3 linked regions of the Tamandua tetradactyla genome follow. The protein of the gene in region 2 purifies or fractionates together with the protein of the main gene of each other region. This does not show direct contact. Links are inferred from orthologs where the notes say so. Each region holds a gene or a part of one and is shown on either strand. Other genes may lie near its edges.

The links.
Region 1: the proteins of FGF11 (region 2) and AHCYL1 purify together in Homo sapiens (affinity purification with mass spectrometry; 3 studies listed by BioGRID and IntAct, with this or other methods). This does not show direct contact. The link is inferred for Tamandua tetradactyla from reciprocal best matches to the Homo sapiens genes FGF11 and AHCYL1.
Region 3: the proteins of FGF11 (region 2) and UBE2O purify together in Homo sapiens (affinity purification with mass spectrometry; 3 studies listed by BioGRID and IntAct, with this or other methods). This does not show direct contact. The link is inferred for Tamandua tetradactyla from reciprocal best matches to the Homo sapiens genes FGF11 and UBE2O.

Annotation. Positions count from the first base shown.
Region 1 is NC_135337.1:12,940,443-12,947,821, forward strand, and holds the start of AHCYL1 (S-adenosylhomocysteine hydrolase-like protein 1), read right to left. Parts: upstream 3,013-7,379; 5' UTR 2,968-3,012; coding exon 2,848-2,967; intron 1-2,847. UniProt on the Homo sapiens protein: Multifaceted cellular regulator which coordinates several essential cellular functions including regulation of epithelial HCO3(-) and fluid secretion, mRNA processing and DNA replication.
Region 2 is NC_135332.1:61,286,022-61,293,017, forward strand, and holds the start of FGF11 (fibroblast growth factor 11), read left to right. Parts: upstream 1-3,943; 5' UTR 3,944-5,187; coding exon 5,188-5,380; intron 5,381-6,996. Other genes in the region: TMEM102 (transmembrane protein 102), read left to right, coding at 1,488-1,701, 1,776-3,094.
Region 3 is NC_135332.1:17,351,449-17,359,065, reverse strand, and holds the start of UBE2O ((E3-independent) E2 ubiquitin-conjugating enzyme), read left to right. Parts: upstream 1-4,615; coding exon 4,616-5,038; intron 5,039-7,617. UniProt on the Homo sapiens protein: E2/E3 hybrid ubiquitin-protein ligase that displays both E2 and E3 ligase activities and mediates monoubiquitination of target proteins. Negatively regulates TRAF6-mediated NF-kappa-B activation independently of its E2 activity.

The sequences.
Region 1 (7,379 bases), on a different chromosome or scaffold from region 2:
TTTCCTTCCTATTTATATTGTCTATACCTTCTGTACTCTAAGCCATCTCAGATGCTCTTAAAAACAGGAAAATATACCAGATATAAACAGACTTTTTTTTAAAGGCACACTTGCTATTTAGCTCCCAACATGTTCCTATCTCTACCTATTTCAAATAACAACTTATTTGTCAGATAAGGAAACTGCGGCACAGAAACTAATTTACTTAGGAACCTACTTAGTTGGCTTCTTGACAGCTAGATGGATCCTTGAATCAAACCAACAAGCCCTGTTACCTCAACAGCACTGTACTAGACCCCAGGGGCATATAAAACTGAGCAAATCATGATTATAGCAAAAGAATCCAGCTATCAATGCTTTTAATTGCAGGATATTCACTCTACCTAAATGAAGGCAGACAAGGTGAATTAACAAGAAAGCTCCTCTGAGATATGACCTGATTAAGGACCATCAAGGTCACCCTCAAGTAACCTGTACCCTCTCACTGGCCCCAGCAATGACCTCATTTCCTGAATGGCCTCAGGGTCTGGAATTATTCAAGAATTACTTGGTCTAAAGTCAAACTGCAATCCTCACAGGTGAGAGGCCCTTTTCTCATACCATTCAGTACCTGGCCAGGTTACTTTTTTTCCTTTTATTTTTCCCATGCTTTCTCACATCATCAACACACAGCAGAAGTAGACAAGTTACCTGAATCATAATGTCCAACTCAGCTGAAATTCTGAAAAACAAATTACCAAGGACTTGCTATGTGACCTTGAACTAGTACTCAACTGACCCATTAACTAAATAAATGGATTTCATCATCACCAGAGAAAGAGTAATTAGTCATTATAAAGCACTTTACTACAAAGTGCTGTGTAAATGCTAAACAATAAAGCTCAGAAAAAGTAAAACTAAAAACACAGGGGCACATTTACCAGCAAATGGTAACTCACAGCAGGGTCTTATCACATCCCCGGCAGAGACTGCTTCTTTCAACTAACGGAATACGAGTCTCTAATCATTAGCACTTGGCCTGACAAAAATACACATTAGTAATATTCCTCCTGGGAAGAGAGGAGGAATAGACAACCCTACTGACATCTCAGTTAATAGTTAGCCAAGCGGGCAATTAATAATTGAGTACTTCCTATAAGCTAGATACAGTACTGAGCACAATGGATTCAATGGTGAATGAGAGTCCTTGTCTTTATGAAAGTTTACAATCCATAATGCAAACTTTGTCTTATCAACAGTGGCACTGACAAGTAAGAATAAAGGTTTACTAAAAAAGGTAAGAATAAAGACACCCCAAACCCTGAAATGACTAGAAAATGGGGGGTGTGTGGGGGGGAAGAGTTCAGGGAATTAAGCATTTTCTCATTTTCCCCCTAACTCACCTAAGGTACTACTCACAAGAATTTTGCTTGAAAGAGCTGTGACTGTTTCTTCAAAGAACAGTGCAGAATACAAATACAGCCCCAACAAAGTAATCTGCTGAACTGAGAGCTCTAAAAATAAGGTTAATTACTCCTTAAAGTCAAGGGATCTTCAATATTTTAAAGACATTCTGTTGTTAAGATTTCAAGTTTTAGAGAAAACAAAGATAAAGTGCACTATGGTGACTTGTCTTTTCAATTTTGCATTTGCTTTCTGGAGTAGTAGATTAAATTTCTTTCTTTTTTTTTAAAGCCATGTTTCCAACTCAAGGTAGTTTAACTAGTTCAGGTGTAGGAGCCTTAAGAACTGTAACTATTCCTGCAAAACTTGAGCACTGCTTTCTATCAAACACTGCAGGCAGAGATAGCCTTGAAACACTCTCTTTATACTAGACTGAAATATTTATCCGGGTTCTCACTGGCTTCAGAAAGGTCACCTCTTTGCAAAGGTTCTCTGATCGACTGTTAACCAGGTGATGGGCATGAGTAAAGTCAAGATGAAGTTGTCAGCAAATGATCAGAAAGCTCTGGGGATCCCAATTCTATCATTCAAAGCGCTATTTAGACTACAACCTCCAAACGTTCCCATGTAGTCTTCCACAACAATAGAATAAGAGTGTCCTTTGAGCTCAACCCACGGTACAATAGACTAAACTTGTTCTGCCTTAATAAGTGCAGTAAAGAATGAGCAATCCTTCCCTACCACCCACCCCTCCAACCCACCCAAGCTCCTTTTTCAAGGGATGCCTAAGTGGTCTATTCACATGACTCCTGGATCAACCTGCATCCATGACAGTGTCTGCTGTCACTAACCTCCAAATGCTAATTTCTTACAGCTGTTGAAGCAACTGGAAGACCGCCGAAGGTGAAAATTAGAGTTTTCTTTTCAATCTCACACCGCCCTCATTGCCTTTATCTGCATAAAAAGAGCTGGGTCCACGCATTCTTTTCTCTTGTTATCACGCAGTTGCTGGATAAATCGGACCCTGATCCCTAAGATTCACCCAAAGAAGTGCTGCCAGATTTACACACTCACCTGAAGGGGGATTTTCTGCACCCCCCTCAACCCCCTCCCTCGGCCTGGTCAGAAGGGCCAGCTGAATTGATTCACTCCCTCCCACACCTGTCTTCGAGGCCTTTCGTCCTGGAAAAGTCAGCCGCAAATTTAAGACCCGGTCCTGTCGGGTCTCAAAAAGATCTCGGAGGACTACGGCCGAGGAACAAAGGAAAACGAAGTCAGGGGCGGCCTTTCCAGCCCGGGATGGGCCTGGGGCCGCTCACCGCTACCTCCCACACAACCTCAGCTGTCCGCGATCACCCGGAACCCTCTCCCCTAAAGTCCCGAACTAGCCGGAGCCCGGGCTGGCACTCGCTCGCGCCCCTTCCGCGAGGCCCAGGTCCCCGCTTGCACCCAGAGCCCCCGCACCTTCTTGGGCGCCTTGGTGACGGTGGCCATGAAGGAGTACTTCTCGGCGTCCTCGATCTCCTTGGCCTGCTTCAGCTCCTCCCCGACTCCGGGCAGCGGCATCGCGTCAGGCATCGACATCCCCCGGCCGGCCCGGCCCGTGGCTGACCCACCGCCCCCGCCTCCTTCCTCCGCGGGCGCCCGCCCGCCCGGCCGCCCGCACTGCGCCCTCCGACACGCGCTCGCCCACCCTCCCACCCGGTCCCACGCCGGGCTGCGTTCGGTTCTGAGGTGCTTTGGCCAGCGCCTCGTCCGCCGGGCAGTCTAACAGAGCGCGACAGCGACGGCGGCAGAAGGAACACCACAAGCAGCCGCGCGAAGCTCCGATCGGCCCGCGCCGCCACCTCCGACACACGCAGACACGCACGCAAAGTAAGGGCAGAGGGCGGTGACGCCACGACAAGTACTGGCAGCTCCGGGGAGGGGGAAGAGGCGGGGAGAAAGGGCGCGCTGTCGTGACGTCATCACGCTGGATTTGGATGCCGAAGCCTTCCCTCCTCGGTGGGGCTCTTAGGTGTACCAGGGTGAGCAGGACCCTTTGCGCCGCCAGATGGCGCCATCAGCCCTGCGAGCGACGTGTAATTCTTGCAAGGGTGACGTGGGGTGGAGGGTCTCTGGGCTGCAGGATTCCGGGCGACGTCTCTGAGAGGAGTAGGAGGGATACCTAGCAGAAAAGGCATGAACCCCAAAAGACACATTCTACGGCCATTCCTAGGAATAATCTGGGGCGCGGGACAGCCTACTCTGCCCAGTTTCTTTTGGACCAGAATTACCCTCTCCAAGGGCGGTGATGGCTCCTTCCATCACCCCATAGGGATTGGTCATAAGAAACTTTGGACAGTCTGATTTGTGTACTGTCCTTTCTGACCTCTTCCACCATTGTCCGCCTGGGTCTTACCTGTTTACGCGATCTCCAGGCCACAGAGGTGATTTCGCTGAAGTGGCCATTAGAATATCAGCTGATGGGTCCGCAGAGGGTCCCTGGCCTGAATGTTTTCCTCCTCGGTGTTCACCAAGCATTAGGCTCTGCTAGCTCTCGGTGGGCGCCCAGGGCACACGTGTGCCATTTGCACATTTTTACTGGGCCTTATCCTGTGCCAAGGCCCTGGAATGCAAAGATGAGTGTGACATTTTATGTTTTGCAAGGCTCAGTCTAGAGGGATAGACAGAGCCTGAATGGATCTGACATGTCAGCTAAGGTAGCTTGTCCTTTGAGATTCAAACTACATTGGCTACTGTGGAAAGTCCAATGTCCTCCCTGAAATTTTTGTGAATTACTGGGGGAACTTACATTTTCATGGTCAAGTCTGGCTCCAGTTTTCTGTCTTCTCTGAAGTTTTATTCATTATCCTGATCATGTGACTGCTTCTTTGACTCTTGCTGTCAATTCAGATATAGAACACAGCTTTTGTTCCTTTCAACCCCCACCCCTATCCCAAAGCAGACACAAAAATAAAGTTGTAACATGTAACAGAATTTTTAGCAAAGGTTTGTGGGTCACAGGGGAGAGGTTACATCACACAGTCAACAATTTAAAATCACATTTCTGAAATGTCCTGAGAAGTTATTTTGGCTATTTTGACACCCGGGATTTCTCACTGGCCACACTATTCTGCAAAGTTCCGTAGCCATTGCCATCTAATTTAACTCCCTCCTGTTTACTCCCCCCCATCCCTCTATCTCACCCTTTCTTTTCTGATTGACTCTGGGAAACCCGATTTTTCTCAACTATGCTGAGCAATGTGAGTCTTCTGGTGCCTTTCCCCTAAATTCCTCTCTGAATCCACCTTTTTATTTCCAGAAACCCACCGAGCCTTTAACAGGATCAATAATTCCAAGAAAGAAGTTATGGTTTGAAATAACATTTTTTCCACTGGTGTGTGCAATACTCTCCACTGGGTGCCCTGAAGTCTTAGTCGGAGAAGCCCACATTCTAACCATCCAGCTTGATGAGGCTCTTTGTTTGAAGTGGGCTGTGGAAGTGCCTAGAAGAAGGCAGACTTCTGCAGATCCCGGTTTTGAGCTTTTAGATAGATTCTCTTACATGCTTCTCTCATTGGCCCAGCCTTCAGAGCACCCAGACACCCCTTTCAGGGGCATTTTTCTAGCAGAAGGGCTTAGAGACAGAGGACCAGAATGTCAGATTCATCCATAAGCATGCCAGACTGTCATTTTTCTCCTCATCTCCCAGGTAGAGCCAAGAATCACACCAGCCTCACCCACAACTCTTTAAGGCCCGCAGTAGCTTTCAAGCTGTGGATTTGCCTGAATTGTTATCAGAGCCCAGGGATCAGAGATGCCCGCTTAAAGAACAGAGGCAGAGCCAGTTAGAACCAGGGATGAAAATTCCAAGTCCCTCGAATAGAAAGACACGCAACTTAGGATAGCTTATTCAAATTAAATTATTAAATTAAAAAGCATAGATGTGTCTATCTTTTGGATTTGATTTTGAAAACTTCCATTATCCAAAAGCTTCATCTTTCAGTTCCCCAGTTCAGCTATGCATCATGGCAGTCAGGTGGTGAGATTCAACCTTTCTTTGCCTCCTCCTAGACCAAAGTAACAGGCTTCCCCTCACACCGGTCTCCCAGCGTTGTCTGCACCACTGCTGCCGCTGAGGAGGGTGGAGCCTTGGGCCAGGACCAGAGGAGGCCATGCCTGAGCAGCTGGGGCCAAGAAGCTAGCAGCATGTCATTCTCCACTCACCTGAGACTGGGCCCGAGGAGAGGCTTGGTGGGTGAGGCTGATCTAAGGGAGCTGGGGGTACTTAGGCTGAAAGGCGGGAGGGGCAGCCCTCCCTGCCCTGGTGGAAGGGTAGCAGGCCTGTACGGTTCATGGCAGGCCAGGACCCAGAGGCGTTCTTGGCAACCTACCTGTTGCTGAGGACATGGGTGGCTGCCTGTCCTCCCCTCCCCACTCCCCATGTGTGGGCCAGAGATCAAAGAGCCCACCCAGCCGAGGAGTGCAGCGACATCACATTGATGAAGGCCATAGCGTGCTACCCCCACCACTCCGAAAATGGTTCCACGCAGCCCAGCTAAGGGGGGGGTCGCCTCACATGGATGTCAAGGAATGAGTGGTCTTCTGTCCATCTGCCCACCTCACTCAGAGTCTCTGCAAGCAGGCCCACCCTTCTGAACAGCTCAGTCCCACTCAGCTGATAGAGCTGTCCAGGGGCCAGAAAAGCAGAGACCCAAGGACAGGTACACCTGGTGTGTGTGGTGTGGTGAGGAAGTCTCCAAAGGGCCTGGACACCAAAGGGGACCCTGTTCTGGACAGGGGTGGGAGGAGGGGGTGGGAGATGCTGCCACCAGAAATGTAGTGGCCCTGCGGCCCCGCAGGTGAGCTTGGTATATGTGATCCATTTCACTCTTCTGTCCTCCTTCGCATTTACCCTCCACATTCACTTATTTGTTCGTTTATTCGTAAAATATATATTGACTGCTGAAGATGTTTCAGGAGCAGCACTCAATGTTGGGACTTAACAGAGAAAAATGCGACGAAGGCTTGATCTCTACCTGGAGTTGGGAGGGGGACTTCATAGAGGGAGATGCTGTCTGAGCTGACGCTTGAAAGCTAAGCAGCTGGACAAGGTAGGGGGGATTGCCAGGGTGAACGATCAGCAGGAGAAAAGGCAGGGCTATTGAAACGTCTTGCCATGATCTGGGAACTTGGTATGTGTTTCAGTGCAGGTGGGGCCCAGAGTGCAAAGTGGGGCAGAGGGAGCGATGAAGCCGAGGTCAGCTCACACAGGGCCCGGTGAGCTGTGGGTGCACGGGGGTGCCGTCCGCTGTGTTTGGAGGAGAAGCAGATCTGGGCGAAGGGACCACTGCGATAAGGAGCCAGCTTGAGTGGAGTTTGATACCTCTGCGGGGGCTGGGGGTGGGGGCACCGTCTCGGAGTCCCAGGGAGCCCAGGTTTTTGCCTTTCACAGCCGTCTGCTCCCTGCCAGCCTGACACCCTACCAGAGAGGGGCTTCGCTCTCCTGTGGGCCCTTCCCCTCCTCCAGGCCAGGCCCTCGTCAGCTACCAGATGAACAGTGCGGACACACTGCAGGAGGTCGTGGGTGACCGCGGCAGCATGGACACGGGCGAATGGCCCCACAGCGCTGCCTCCAGAACTCTGGGGTGGGCGTGTCCCCCTCTACATCCCAGGCTTCTCTCTGCCCCACCACTGCCAAGTTGCACAAATCTGGGAGGCATCACTGACATTGTCATCAACGTGAGGCGTGCCCCTGGAACGCAACTCCAAATTGGTAATCTGCCCCTCTGGCTCGAAGGAAAGCCCTGGGGAGGGCTGCCAGGCCCAGCTCTGGGCACTCACTCCCCAGACAGGCTGGATTCCTCCTTGCCACTGAGCTCCTTCCCCTCCCTTCTCTGTTGTTCCAGCCCTTGGGAGAAAATGGGCAGTCCCCTGAGACTGGGAAAGACTCTGTCTCCTCCTCTGCTTGTTTTTAATCACATTATTGTAATTATTTTGAATTTCCTTCTATT
Region 2 (6,996 bases):
GACCTGGGTGCCCTGAACTGAGCTCTGGATTCTAAGAGCCCCCTCCTTTACAGGCCTCTAGTTTGTCTAGGTGTGTCCCTGCTTAATTCTCTCTCCTATGGACTCAGGCCTACCCTAACACTGGAGACAGCCCCTGCACAGAGGGAATGTATGAAGTCTTGGCCCAGCGATGGATTTGTCTGTGAGCTTTCTACCCATTATCCTAATTCCTCGTCCCACCCTGGATTTAGGCTGTGTTCTGGTCCCTGTTAGCATAGATTATTGAAAGCAATTTCCTACCCTTGATAATATTCCAATGCCTTGCTCCAGCCCCAAGTTTCCTCTGGACTTGATCTTCAGTCTTGATACCCTCTTCTCTGTGTATACATAAGCTGTGTGGTTCAAAACTGCTCCTCTGCCATCTCTCTTGAATGTCTGAGGTGGGCATCACTGCTCCCTAATATGTGTCTCTCTTCCCTGGGCCACATGACCTTCTTGAGTCACTTCCTAAGTGTTCCTGCCTAAGAGTGCCACCACTGATCTCAAAGATGCCTGCCCACCCAGCTGGGGAATCCCTTCCAACACCTTCCTGGCTCACCTCTGTGACCTTGGACAAATCATGTGCAAACTTTCTAAGCTGAGGTTTCCTTATCTCCAAAATACATAGAAGAGCCCTTCCAGCTCTAAGTGACCAAAGTTCTTCTACTCACATATGGAATCCAAGGGCCCCCTTTTCTCCCCAGGCCCTAGGGTATTTGCTATCCAGGTCCATCCTATTACACCTCTTCCCCTACTCCAGGGGTGGGGTGGATCGGCCCTTGGAAAAAAGCAGAGCAGTCTGTCTCCACAGAAACTACAACTTCCATCAGGCACTGCTTCAGCAGAACAGGAAAGGATGTGGGGGCGGACTCCAGTGTCCTAGGAGCTCCGGAGACAAACTACAACTCCCAGGAAAGAGTGAAACCTCAGCTGCTCAAACGAGGGAAAAGCACTCTGACCCGAGCCGGGGCCTGGCGGGAACCTTCCCGGAAAGCCTCCCCCCGAAAGGGCGTGGTCGTACCTGTGGGCGGGGCCATGGGAGCAAGAGGAAGAAGTTACCTGTTGGATTGTTCTATCCACCTTCTTCCCCACTCTACCCCTAAGAGGGAAGCCGCAGATCATAAGCCTCTCCCGAAAAGAGGTAAAGGGACGTAGCCAAAGGAAATCGTGGGGTCGCGGCAGAGACTGGCTATTGCATCCTGTAGGAGGGACCCAACAGCCACTTTCTACCTGCTCAGTCAGGTGAACCGGCCCTTAGGGGCGGGGAGCTGCGTGAAGGAAGGGCAAAGACGGAGGAGGTATTTATTTGTTCGTTTTGAAGACTATATTTGGAGCCCCAGTTGCAGTTGGGTCTGGGGCCCTCGCTCAATCTCGGGAAGAAGGAAGAACACAGGCGACTTCTCCGCAACAGAGCAAAGGCGGGTCTGGGCTGCCGTGTTTTCCTTAGCCAAAAAAAACGTTAGAGCTCCATGACTTCCGCGGTCTGGGGGGGTGCCGCCTGGTGGGGCCCACCGCCCCCGGCGCCAGCCCGGCCGCTCACCGACATCGACTTCTGCTCCGGGGCGCAGCTTCAGGAACTGACCCAACTGATTCAGGAGCTGGGGGTGCAGGAAAGCTGGAATAACGGGCCCAAGCCGGGGCCAGACCTCCTCCGGGCCAAGGACTTTGTCTTCTCTTTGCTTGGTAAGTAACACTCCTAGCCTCCGTACCCGCCCCGGCTTTGGGCCACGCCCCCACGATCCCTTCTCTTCCCTTAGGCCTCGTTCACCGCCGGGACCCCCGCTTTCCTCCCTTGGCAGAGCTCTTGCTACTTCACGGCGGGATTCGCGAGGGCTCCCTTGATCTGGGACCTGCACCTCTGGGTCCCTATGCCCGGGGACCTCACTACGACGCCGGCTTCACGCTTCTGGTGCCGGTATTTTTGCTGGACGGCACTGGGCCCGAGCTGCAACTGGATCTGGAATCCTGTTACGCACGGCTCCGCCTCCCCGAGTTGAAGCGCGGATCCTCAATCCGGGAAGCGTGGCAGGATTGCCTGGAACCTACGATTCCAGAAGGACGTGATTGGATCCCTCAAACCGAGAAAGAAGGAAGTTCCAAGGATCGGGAAAGCTCCGCGGACCAGCCGCACAGTAACCTCACTGTGCCTGAGCCTCACGTGTCTTTGGAAGAATCACCTAGTGACGTTCCAAAGCCGGAGGTTCCTCAGAGTGACATCATCGATCTTGATTCTCCCACATCTTTGAAGAAACTATGTGCTGACGTCACCAAGCTAGCTGTCGAATGTCGAGTCCCACAGCTGTCCGAGGAATGGGAGGCGTGGCCTACATTGTCCCCCGCCCAAGTTGCTGCCTGGTTCTTTGCTTCTCTGGCCGCGGTCGCCGAGACCCTGATTCCAATCCCAGGCTCTCCGCGCCTGGTGCACGCAGCCCGCCACGCGGGATTCACTACCATCCTCCTGGCCACTCCCGGTCCCCCGCGCCGCCTACTGCTCTTCGACCTGGTCCCCGTGGTGTCTGTGGCCGGCTGGCCCGAGGGGGCTCGGAACCACTCGTGGGCAGGCCCGCTGGCCTCCGGGCCCTCCTCCTTCTACCTGGTGCCCGGCGGCGTCACAGAGCGATTGGGCGCCTCTGGCTGGCAGCTCTGCTTCGCTCGCCAGGAGCTGGCGCTCAAGGCGCGCATACCGGCTCCGCTGCTGCAGGCGCACGCGGCGGCCCAGGCGCTGCTGCGCCCGCTGGTGGCCGGGACCCGGGCGGCGGTGCCCTACCTGCTGCGGATGCTGCTCTACTGGGCGTGCGAGCGGCTGCCCGCGCTCTACCTGGCGCGACCTGAGAACGCCGGCGCCTGCTGCCTGGGGCTGCTGGACGAGCTGAGCCGCGTGCTCGAAGCCGGGGCCTTGCCCCACTATTTTCTGAATGGCCGAAAGCTCCTGGCGGGGGACTTCGCTGCCGGGCTGCTACCGGAGTTGGCCCGACTCCGCGGGGACCCTGCTGGGGCTCTGCGGGCCGCGGTGGAGGAGGCCAAGGCTGCACGCAAGGGGGGCGGCTTGGCGGGCGTGGGGGGCGGGACCCATTAAAGAGTCAGCTCCTGTCAGCATGGAAAGTGCTTCTTCTGGGAAGTGGAATGCTGAGGGCTCTGGCCAGGCGCCTCTCCCGGGAGAAAGACTGAAGACCCCATTCTACAAGTCCTCGTGGTCGGTTCCTCCCAATATCCCCGCCCCCAGTCATTCATTCCGGCCTTTCCGCTCTCCAAATATGACGCCAGCTCCTCTTCGGCTCCAGTGCAGGCCCCCGCAATCTTCTTTCCCCAATAATTCCGGACTTTTCTCTTAGAAGTCAGTAGAGAAGGGGGAAATATATTTGCTGACAAAACGCGGAAAGGCGAGGTTTGGAGACTGGAAATTAACCGGTTTGATTCACACACCAGCGGGCATTTTAAAGAGGCCAGACTGCACCCCAGACTCGATCTCACTACTAACACCATCTCTCCAGTTATCCCCTTCTCCTCAACCAGTCCAGCCCTCACTCCATCCTGGGCAGCAGGGATCCCTCCTTTCTGTTCTTGAGGCGTCAACCATTCTGTCTTAAGCCCAACCATTCCCCCACCCACCCTCAACCAGTCCAGCCCTCACTCCATCCTGGGCAGCAGGGATCCCTCCTTTCTGTTCTTGAGGCGTCAACCATTCTGTCTTAAGCCCAACCATTCCCCCACCCAGAGTTTCGTTCATGGAATCGCCTCCCTATTCCTCCTCCTCCCAGCCGCCGCTCCGTCCTCACGTCCCGCCTCCAAGGAACCCCGGGGTTCCGCCGGCCCAGCTTCTCCCCCACCCCCACATTCCCGGCGTCTCCGCCCCCTGCCCCGCCCCCGGGAGGAGGGGGAGTTGCTGTCGCCGCCGCTGCCTCGGCTTTCCACTGCTGCTGCCGCTGCCGCTGCCGCCGCTGCGCCGGGTCCAGCCGCCAGGCCCAGGGCTCTGACTTCGCCGGACCAGGGTGCTTTGCCGAGACGCCCTCTCCTTCTTGGGGGTCCGGGGCATCCAGCCGGGTGCCGGGGAAAAGCCTGGCTTGCGGGGGACGGGGAGGGAGGAGCCTGGAGCCGGAGCCAGCGCCACCCGTCTCCGGATCAACAGGACAGGACAGGTTGAGGGGCGTCGGGAAGGAAGAGGCGATATCGGGGAGGAAGCCGAATCGGAGGAAGCGCAGAGTGATTGCTCTCACTAGGAGGGGGCCTGTTCACATCTGGGGACTGGTGACAACGTGGGTGCACTCCGCTCTGGGATGGGGGGTGGGGGTGGCTGGGTTGGAGGCTGTGGGAGCTAAACAGCACCAGCTGTCCCCGAGGAAATTTAAGGGGCAGGCAGAAAAAAAGGGACCCTCCTTATTCGAGGTGATAGAGGGTCCTGTGGAAAACCACCTGGTGTTTCCGTTAGGAAGGGTGGTTTTGGAGGTGACTTGGAAAGGAGTGGAGGGTGACAAGGTGAGAAAAGGGCTCATTAGCTGGAACCCTGGCCCACTAAAAGTGGGGGTAATGGTGAAAAAAGGTACCGTCTAGCGAGAAGGCCTGGAAACTTCTCACGCATCAGAACGGCCTGGCAATTCTAAGACATAGGTTTTGGGGATTTCAGCGAAAAAAGTGGGGGATCCTCTCCATTTAGAGGGTGGCAAAAGAAAAGAAAACCAAGGTTGGATTCCTTCCTGACACTGGACAGCTCCCCAGAAGGAGGTGAGGCAACCTAATATCCCTAAAGCTAAGAATCCACACTCTTTAGATTCCAGGAGTGGATTTGGTAGGGGAGCAGAGCCCCGAAATAGGGTGGAGAGCTGCCTGGGGCTATTGGAACCAAATCTTGGAAATTTTGGGGGTCTTGGTTTTGGGAGAGGGGAATCAGGGACAGCCACACTGGAGAACAGGGAAGGGAGAATTTTCAGTAGGTGGCAAAATTCGAGGCTGGGGTCAACTGAGGGGGGAGCAGGCTGCTGGGTCAGGAGGCGCCAGCCGGGCCCAAGGATTGGAGCTGGCAACTGTGGGGGTCTTAGCCTCAGGTCCTGTGGGTGGGACGGTGAGTCTGGGGGCCCGAGCAGCAAGAGCATGCCCTAGTGAGAGGGCTTCTCTGGGGGAGCCCCTTGCCCTCCTGGCGCCTGCCGGTTTGGGGGTATCTCCTCCCGGGGCGCCATGGCGGCGCTGGCCAGTAGCCTGATCCGGCAGAAGCGGGAGGTCCGCGAGCCTGGAGGCAGCCGGCCCGTGTCGGCACAGCGGCGTGTGTGTCCCCGCGGCACCAAGTCCCTTTGCCAGAAGCAGCTTCTCATCCTGCTGTCCAAGGTGCGACTATGCGGGGGGCGGCCCTCGCGGCCAGACCGCGGCCCAGGTGAGTGCGGCTGGGGCTGGGTCTCTCGGCCAGGGGGTCTCTGTCCAGGGGCTGAGACCAGGGACTCTGTCTGAAGAGTGGGACCCAGCTGTAGGGGACTCCCGGAGAGTGGGTGGGCCTGGGCGACAAAGTCCCAGCCTATCAGACTATGCCTCAGTTTCCTTTCTTATTTCCCGTAACCCAGACTCTCCTCCCTTTCGAGTAAGGGGAGAGCTTGAGGGGCTTAGTCTAGCGCCCCGAAGTTTCGCAACCCCTGCCCCCACCCCCCACCCCCGATATGGAATCCCCACCCCCACCATCCTCCGCCTACGTGCCGACTCTCGCGATCCTTTCAATCCCGAGCGGAGGGGGCTGGGGGCTCTGTACGCCTGGGTCACCCCGAGGATTTCTGCGGCTCCGGCCGCCCCGCCCCCGCCGCGGTTCTCCCGCCCTCCACGCCTTGGCTTGATTCCTCCCGGTCGAGTTCGCCTGGCTCAGGGCCAATCTCCCCAGCTCTCCCCCGGGTGTCCTTGCAGCTATTTCGCCAGACCGCCCCTCTGTGCGCCCTCCTCCCAAGACCAGCGTTTCTAGAAGGGAGCTGGGGACCCCCCCCCCATTACCCCCCATTCCTCCTCGCGAGACTCCGAAATCGGGTCCTACTGGCTCAGAGGACCCTCTGCCCGGAGGAACTCAGGCACATTAACGGGGCTGGAGGGGGCATGGAGACTGGGGGGTCGTACCACCTACAAAGCGGGGGACAGGGGAGTCTCGGAGAGCAAGCGACCAGAAAGAGTTGTCAGTATCAGCATGTGATCCCCGTCCAGGTACGACAGGCAGGGAGTCCCTTTGGCCCCACTCCCGCCGGCTCTCAGCTCCCCTGGGGGTGGCCCCCTCGAGCCCCCCCCCCCCCCGCCCTCCGCCCACCCTCCGTCAGCGGCCTTCAGCAGTGGTATGGTCCGTAGCCCACCCTCTGAGAGGGGACCCGGCCCCCACGTGACTCAGCCTGCCTCTCTATCTCCCTGGTCCCCCTCCCCCATCTCTTTGATATGGTACTGAATGCCCCCGCCCCACCCCAGGCGGGTTACCTGGATGAAGGGGAGAGGCTGAGCCTCAGAGAGGGCTGCCCCCCCCTCCCCCCCCCCCCCCCCCCCCCCCCCCCCCCGCGAGCCAGCAGACTGACAAACAGACAGACAGCCAGATGGACCAGTGTCAGACAGTCCGGCTCTGGGCCAGGCCCAGGCCTGAGCCAAGCGGGCAGCAATGCAGCAGCAGGTGCTGAGTCAGCACTGGGCTCTGTACCACCCCCACTCCTTTGGGGGAGCCCCTACCCTGTGGCCACCTTATGGCCCTCCCACCCACCCACACGCATTGGCAAATACATGCCCCTTCAGCAGCTCTGCCTGTCTCTTTCTCTCCTCTGCCTTTTGATATATCTCTTTTCCTTCTCCCTCCTTCCCTTCCCCCCCTTCTGATTGCGCTGTGGAGTAGGAATTAAACCATTTAAATAAATTTCAATAAATTAAACTGAAAGCTTATAGTTAGAGGAAGCAGAAGGGACTCACACTGAGCTTTCTCTGAAGCCAAAGAGGGTAAGAGAGCTGGGGCTCTGGGATCCCCTTCCTTTTCTCCATTCTCCT
Region 3 (7,617 bases), about 44 Mb from region 2:
CAACCTGCAACAATAATGAAAAGGAAAAACTAAGCAGGCGCTTCCATCCACCCTTGCTCCAGCAGCAGCCAGCCTGGCTGCGCAAGCAGAGAGAGTGGCTGGGCCCACAACCTGGTCTGAGTGAGGTCACTGAAGAGTGGGGGGAATTTACTGAGGATCCCCCTCCCCACACCTCCAAAATGATTTAGATGCAGCTTGAAGTGGGGGCAGGTGAAGAGTTTAGAGACCAGCAGCAGGAAGGACTAGAAGGTTTCTCTCCCTCCAACCCAAGCTTCAACTGGTTAGGTGTGTGGAGGCAGGGGGCTGCCCACACAGGCACAGAACTCTCAGGGCTCTGAAACCTACCAATGTGCCACATTACTGAGTGTCGATACAGAGCCAGGCACTGTCCTAGGCATCGAGTTTACCCTCCTGAAAATGATTGGTCCATGCGCTCAAAAGGAGCCCATTCCAGTGAGGGAAAGGGCAGCCCTTGAACTCAGGGACTGTCACCTACAACCTGGCAGGCTCCTGGAGGCGGGGATCAGGACGCAGCGTGGCATGGAACTTCATGCAAAGGGGATCATCCCTCCCTCCCTTACAGGGTTGTGTGAGACCAGGTAAGATAATCCATGTCAAGCACTTCTTATAGTACAGGCATAAAGATACAGCTCAATAAATGGTAGCTCTTCTTAGCCATCATTATAAGAAGTCTGTTTTATAGAGCAATTAGGGAGGAAAGGGCATTATTTTTGTTAAAACGATGTTCTAGTTTGCTAGCAGCCAGAATGCAATATACCAGAAACGAATGGCTTTTAAAAAGGGGAATTTAATAAGTTGCTGGTTTACAGTTCTAAGGCCGAGAAAATGTCCCCATTAAAACAAGTCTATAGAAATGTCCAATCAAAGGCACCCAGGGAAAGATACCTTGGTTCAAGAAGGCCAATGAAATTCAAAGTTTGTCTCTCAGATGAGAAGACACATGGCGAACCCAGTCAGGACTTCTCTCTCAGCTGAAAGGGCACATGGTGAACACGGCGTCATCTGCTAGCTTCCTCTCCTTGCTTCCAGTTTCATGAAGCTCCCCAGGAGGTGTTTTCCTTCTTTATCTCCAAAGTTGCTGGCTAGTGGACACTGCTTTGTGGTGCTGCAGCATTCTCTGCTCTCTCCGAATCTCTTATTCTCCAAAACGTTTCCCCTTTAATAGGACTCCAATAAACCAATCAAGACCTACCCAAATGGGTGGAGACATGTCGTCTCCACTCTTGACTAAATCACATCATCCAGGGTGATGATCTGATTACAGTTTCAAACATACAGTATTGAATAGGGATTATTCTACCTTTATGAAATGGGATTTTGATTAAAACATGGCTTTTCTAGGGGGCATTCTTCCTTTCAAACCAGCGCAAACAAACACATTTGGATTTTTGACATAAAGATGCCTGGGGCTGCACTGCCCTGTCCTTCAGCCTATTTGGCACACATGGCACACATGGATACATGAACTCTCTCCTCTGCAGTCAGAAGCTCCTCAGAGGGAAATCTGGAGGAACGGGTAACTGGAAGGGCCCCGGCACTTGAAGTCAAGGGATCTGGGTTCTGATCTTGGCACTGCTTGTGACCTCCGCACTGAATTACTGGGGCTCTCTTCCTCATTGGTAAAATAGGGTTTTTTGCATCTACATGCAAGACGGTGATAAGTATGATAATGTATGTGAAACTGCTTAACACAGTGCCTCGTCAATTACAGGTGCTCAATAAACGTGAGATTATCAGAGGCCGAGGAGACAAAGCTAAAGGGACATGGTAGGTGGAATGGAAACTTCTAGGTTATTGCTGGTAAGCCTCCCAGGTCTTTATGGGGGCAAAAGAGAGAGTGAGGAACAGTGTCCTTGGAGCAGAAATTTCACGCGGTCAATTATGTGATGTGTGGTCTGGAGGGGAAGGCCACAAGCTGAGAATGAGCTGAGAATCCAGCTTTACCCCTAAATATTAGCCTAACTCCCTTTCAGCTCACTTAGCCTCAGTTTTTTCCCTATAACTTTCGTACATGAGTTTTTAAAGATCTGGTCCATTGAAAACCACCCCCAGCCCAATCCATCAATACCCCATAAGTTCTTAATCCAAAACAGCTTACATACACAGTCTGCACGAAGCATACCCATGCCATCTGGGCCTTGGGCATGTTCTTGTAACTTTTCCCAAGTGTAGTTCTGCTCCCCAGCATACTGTAAACTACCCAAAGGGAGGGACCCTACCTTTATGGAGAACCTAAATATTGTAAAATCATACCGTCCTACCAGTCTGTCATTGATGATCTTGCAGAAAAATGTGGAACAAAATGATTTTGACTGTGAGTGGAAAAGTATCTGCAAAAGTGAGTGGAAAAGTATCTGCAAAGCCCCCTTTGGGGAGTGGTGAGAACGGGGAGAAATTCAACTTCCCCAAGTTGAATTCTTGATATTCTCACAAACAGTGTGGACAACTAAAGGTATAGGCAGAGCCCCCAGTCTTGGGGTTTGTTCATATGAAACTTAACCCCGCAAAGGATAGGTCAAGTCTACTTAAAATTTAGGCCTAAGAGTCACCCCCAAGAGAGCCTCTTTTGTTGCTCAGATGTGGCCCCTCTCTCCAGTCAACACAACGAGCAGTCTCACCACCCTACCCCTCTCTACATGGGACATGACTCCCATGGGTGTGGACCTTCCTGGCAACGTGGGACAGAAATCCTAGAATGAGCTGAGACTCAGCATCAAAGGATTGAGAAAAACCCTAGAATGAGCTGAGACTCAGCATCAAGGGATTGAGAAAACCTTCTCAACCAAAAGGGGGAAGAGTGAAATGAGACAAAGTGTCAATGGCTGAGAGATTCCAAACAGAGTCGAGAGGTTATCCTGGAGGTTATTCTTATGCATCAAGTAGGTATCATCTTGTTATTCAAGATGTAATGGAGAGGCTAGAGGGAACTGCCTGAAAATGTAGAGCTGTGTTCCAGTAGCCATGTTTCTTGATGATGATTGTACAATGATATAGCTTTCACAATGTGACTGTGTGATTGTGAAAACCTTGTGTCTGATGCTCCTTTTATCTACCTTGTCAACAGATGAGTAGAACATATGGAATAAAAATAAATAATAGGGGGAACAAATGTTAAAATAAATTTAGTTTGAAATGCTAGTGACCAATGAAAGGGAGGGGTAAGGGGTTTGGTATGTAAAATTTTTTTTTCTGTTTTTGTTTTATTTTTCTGTTTTCTTTTTATGTCTTTTTCTGAATTGATGCAAATGTATGGGAAATGATCGTGATGATGAATATGCAACTATGTGATGATATTGTGAATTGCTGAGTGTATGTGTTGGGAATGTTTGTGCTTCTTGTAATTTTTTTTAATTAATAAAAAATTAAAAAAAAATGATTTTGACTGAGAAAGGTTAGGGCCATATCTTGAGTATAATGTCCTTTTAATAACCCATGAATCTGTCCTCTGAGAATGTATCTAAATCTTTTGTAATTTGCTTAGGTGGCATGTTAAATCAGTATTATAATATATACTATTATATAATATATTTACATTTAAATGGCAATATGGAACAGACCATAAATGTGTCAGTTCTGCCAATATAAAATTTTGGTCTAGGCAGGGTGTTTTGAAACGTAGCAATGGTTTATTGAGCAAGCTACATGCCAGGCACTGTTCTCTCTCATTGAATCCTCCCAATTGACTGATGAGACAATTATTACTATTATCCTCCGTATTTTACAGGCGAGAAAATTAAGGTGAAAAGAAGTTTATCAGCTTGCCTACCTTTATACATTAGTAAGTGGAAATGGGCAGAATTGGAATTTATAGCTTCCACTCTTAACCACCTTGCTATGCTACCTCTTGCCAGGCATGCTATTTTAAGAAGGTTTGAACTCATCTCACTGGGTCTAAAGCCAAACCATAGGGGCCACTGATACTTCTCTTTCTGTCCTTACGCTGGGCCCCTTGACCAACTCTCCAGGACCAGTTCTATCACGGGGTCATGACCTCCCAAGCTTTGCTTGAAATCACCAAATACACACAATACACTCTAGATACACTCTACTTATCTATTATAGCCTTGCTTACAAGCTGTCTTGGGGTTGCTTTTTAGCTATTTAATGTATATTTGTTTTACCTCCCCAACTAGATTGTAAACACCTAGAGGACAGGGACAGTATCTTTCTCTTTATTCTCTCACAGTGCCCAGGACAAGGCTGAAGACGCCAAGGGATCTCATTAAATGTTGTTGACAGACTCCACCGTCCTCCCACCTCGGCCACTCCCCTTTCCCTCAGTGGCCCTCTCCCATTGCTTTTCCCCCTCCGGCCCCGCCCCTCCCTCGTGGATTTCGTCCTTCCTCCTCTGCTTCTCCGCCCCGCCCCCCCTGCCCCGGGCTCCCCGCAGCATCTCCAGCGTCCCCTAGCGACAAGGCGGTCGCTCCTAGCAACCGCATCTCGGTTCCCTGACGACGGCGGCACGTAGGGCCACGTCAGCGCGCTGTGGCCCCGCCCCGGCGCCACTGACCCCGCCCCCTATGCCTCGTTTGCCGCCGCCGCCGCCGCCGCCGCCGCCGCTGCCGCCGCCGCCCGAGACTCGCGCAGAGCAGTTATGGCGGATCCCGCAGCCCCCGCGCCCGCAGCTCCAGCTGCCGCCCAAGTCCCGGCTCCGGCCTCGGACGCGGCTCCGGCCCCGGCCCCGGACGCGGTCCCCGCCCCAGCCCCGGCTCCCGCCCCGGATTCGGCCTCCGGGCGGTCCTCGGACTCCGGCCCCGAAGCCGGCTCGCAGCGCCTGCTGTTCTCTCACGACCTGGTGTCGGGCCGTTACCGCGGATCGGTGCACTTCGGGCTGGTGCGCCTCATCCACGGCGAGGACTCGGACTCGGAGGGCGAGGAGGAGGGCCGCGGGAGCTCGGGGTGTTCCGAGGCCGGCGGCCCGGGCCACGAGGAGGGCCGGGCCAGCCCGCTGCGCCGCGGCTACGTGCGCGTCCAGTGGTACCCGGAGGGCGTCAAGCAGCATGTGAAGGAGACCAAGGTGCGGGCTGGGGGCGACCGGCGGGGAGAGCGAGGCGTGGCCGCCGCGGTGGGGTGCGGGAAGGCAGCACGAAGGGCGCGAGGGTCGCCTCGGGCGGCTGGGAGCGGGGGGCCCCCTGGCTGGAGGTCGCGGGAAGCGGGGAGTCCGCTGCCTGAACCCCAGGCCGTGGCAGGGTAGGTGTGCCAGGCGCCGCCCGGAATGGTGCAGCTGCAGTGGGCCGCGGGGGCAGGACGAACCTCAGCGAAGGGTACGCTCCGGTGCAGTGGGCCCGTGCAAAGTCATTGCACCAGCCCCGGGAGCACGCGCCAGCTGTGCACTGCTGGCCGGGGACGGGCCCTGGGCTTCCCGGCTGGAAGGGGACATTCATACCGTGCCGTGCTGTCTTGGCGGCGGCAGAAGCGGAGACGAGGACGGGCTGCGGCGCGGGGAGCGCCTCAGGCCCTGGGACGCGTTCGGCATTACACCAGTGCGGCGTTTTGTTGACCCCCAAGGAGCTACCTACCGCATTGTGCATCCAAAAGGAAGGCCGTGCGGTGTCGGTGCGGGGAGGGCTTGTGGGCGTTCCAGAGCAGAGATCGAGGGGGAAATCACGGCCGATGGAAAAACCGGAGAAGTTCACTAGGTTACAGAATTCACGGATTCGTTCTGGTGAAGAAATTCAGAGCTGTTTATGGTTGACCTTACTGCCTTATCTAATTGCTGCGGGGAACTTTGGGAGTAAAATCATTAACATTCAGCACCTCGACATTAATAGACTGGGGGAGAATGTGACAGCTTCCACAGGATTGATGACTCCTGAGTACATTTGGACTTCTTGAGAAAAATACTATAGAGAGCCACCAATTGGGAAACCTGGAGGATTTTTCTTGTGTAGGGCTGTTAGGCAAACATCAGATCCCCATATGTTATTGGGGTGAGGGTGGTGCATATAGCAGTTTTACACAGCGAAAGGTTTATCGTCATAAACCTGAAACCTTGAGCCAAGGTTGATTTGGTGGCTTTTCATGTCTTGTTTTTCAGAGAGCGAATTCCTATCAGTGATTCACAGACATACACACACACACCCCCCTCTATCTCATGCCTCTTCTTCCTCGCCTCCTTCCCTTCCCTTCCCTTTCAGGAAGACATTTCTAAGCAGGAATCAGGCCTGGACCATGGCTGCCAAGGATACTGAGAGGTCTGATTTCAGGGCACAGCACTTTAGAAGTTAGTCTGGGTTTCTCACACACTGGGAGACAAAGGAGACGGAGGAACTGGGCATCATGCCACACTACAAAGGGGGTCTGTGACGAAGACTCCTGGTAGGGAGAAAGGCCCCGCTCTGGGGAAGAGCCTGTGATCCATTTCCCGGTGGCAGAAGTGAATGCTGATACCAGCAGGGTCTTTTTCTCTCTAATGCACATGCATCTCCAGACACAAATCCACACCCATGACCCCCGTATCCTCTCTGAAAAATGTAAATCAGGCCATAGCTTCTCAGGTGCAGAAAGGAAATTATAAGCGCAATTACAAAAATATTTGAAAAATAATATTTTTTTCCATAGAATGCTGATTTAAAACTACCACCAGCATTGCTATGTCAGGAGGAAGGGATCGTTGCTTCACACGCTGTGTATTGTCTTACTAGCACACGATTGCTGGTATCTTTCTGTGGATTTAAAGAAAAATGTTTCCTCCAACCATCTTCTGTAGGGGGTTTTGACTTTTGGAATGCAGCTCACTTTGAGTCTTGCTTTCTGTATGTGGTGGCCTCCGGCTCTGGGACTCTGACTGAGGCCACCCCAGCTCGGTGCTGGAAGCTGCTGCGTTTATCAGTTGTCTTTCCTGCCCATCTTGACTTTGGTGGTTAACTTTGTTTACGGCTGTGTTCTGCCTGCCTTCTCCACCATGTGTAATACAGCGTTTGACTTAAAATACTTGTTTTGGAGCTAAGTAGAAAATGACTTGGACGTATTTGAAGCTACCCCCTTTTGACTTTGAGCTTGATGAGATGCATCCTGTGACTTGGGCGGTGATGTTCCTTGGCTGTTGTAGTGTCTGTGCTTCTGTGCTTAGCAAAAGCCAGGGCTCATAGGAATTCCAAGAAAGGGCCGGCCTGCAGTGCCCATTTATGGGTGGTAGAACCCAGTTCTTTTAGGACCTGTGGGTAGGTTTATTTGGGGAAGGGGATGAGGACTTTTATTCTCCCAGATGTTTATACCTGATGAGTGGCTCCCAGCCATCATGACAGATGACCCAGGTCAGCTGAACATTTTTCCTGCTTTGCTTCTGGCCTCTGACTAAGGTAGCAGGGTGGGTCCTGGGATTTTGCAGCACAGTAGCCTAGGGAGGTTTTCCTTCTCACCTCCCACTCCTTGTAAATTCCCTGGAGGTGACAGGGTACATGGTAAAAGAGAGCCCCTTTGACCAAGACTGATCTCTCTGTCGCTTAGCTGGCTGTGAGATTGCAGAACCCAGTTATTGATAGTAATGTAGTGACAGTCCTGGGAAACTTATTTTTTTAAAGCCACCACCTATTGGAATTCTTTTTTAATCATGCCCATTTAATGTGAAATATTTAGTAGGTTATGGTTATTTTT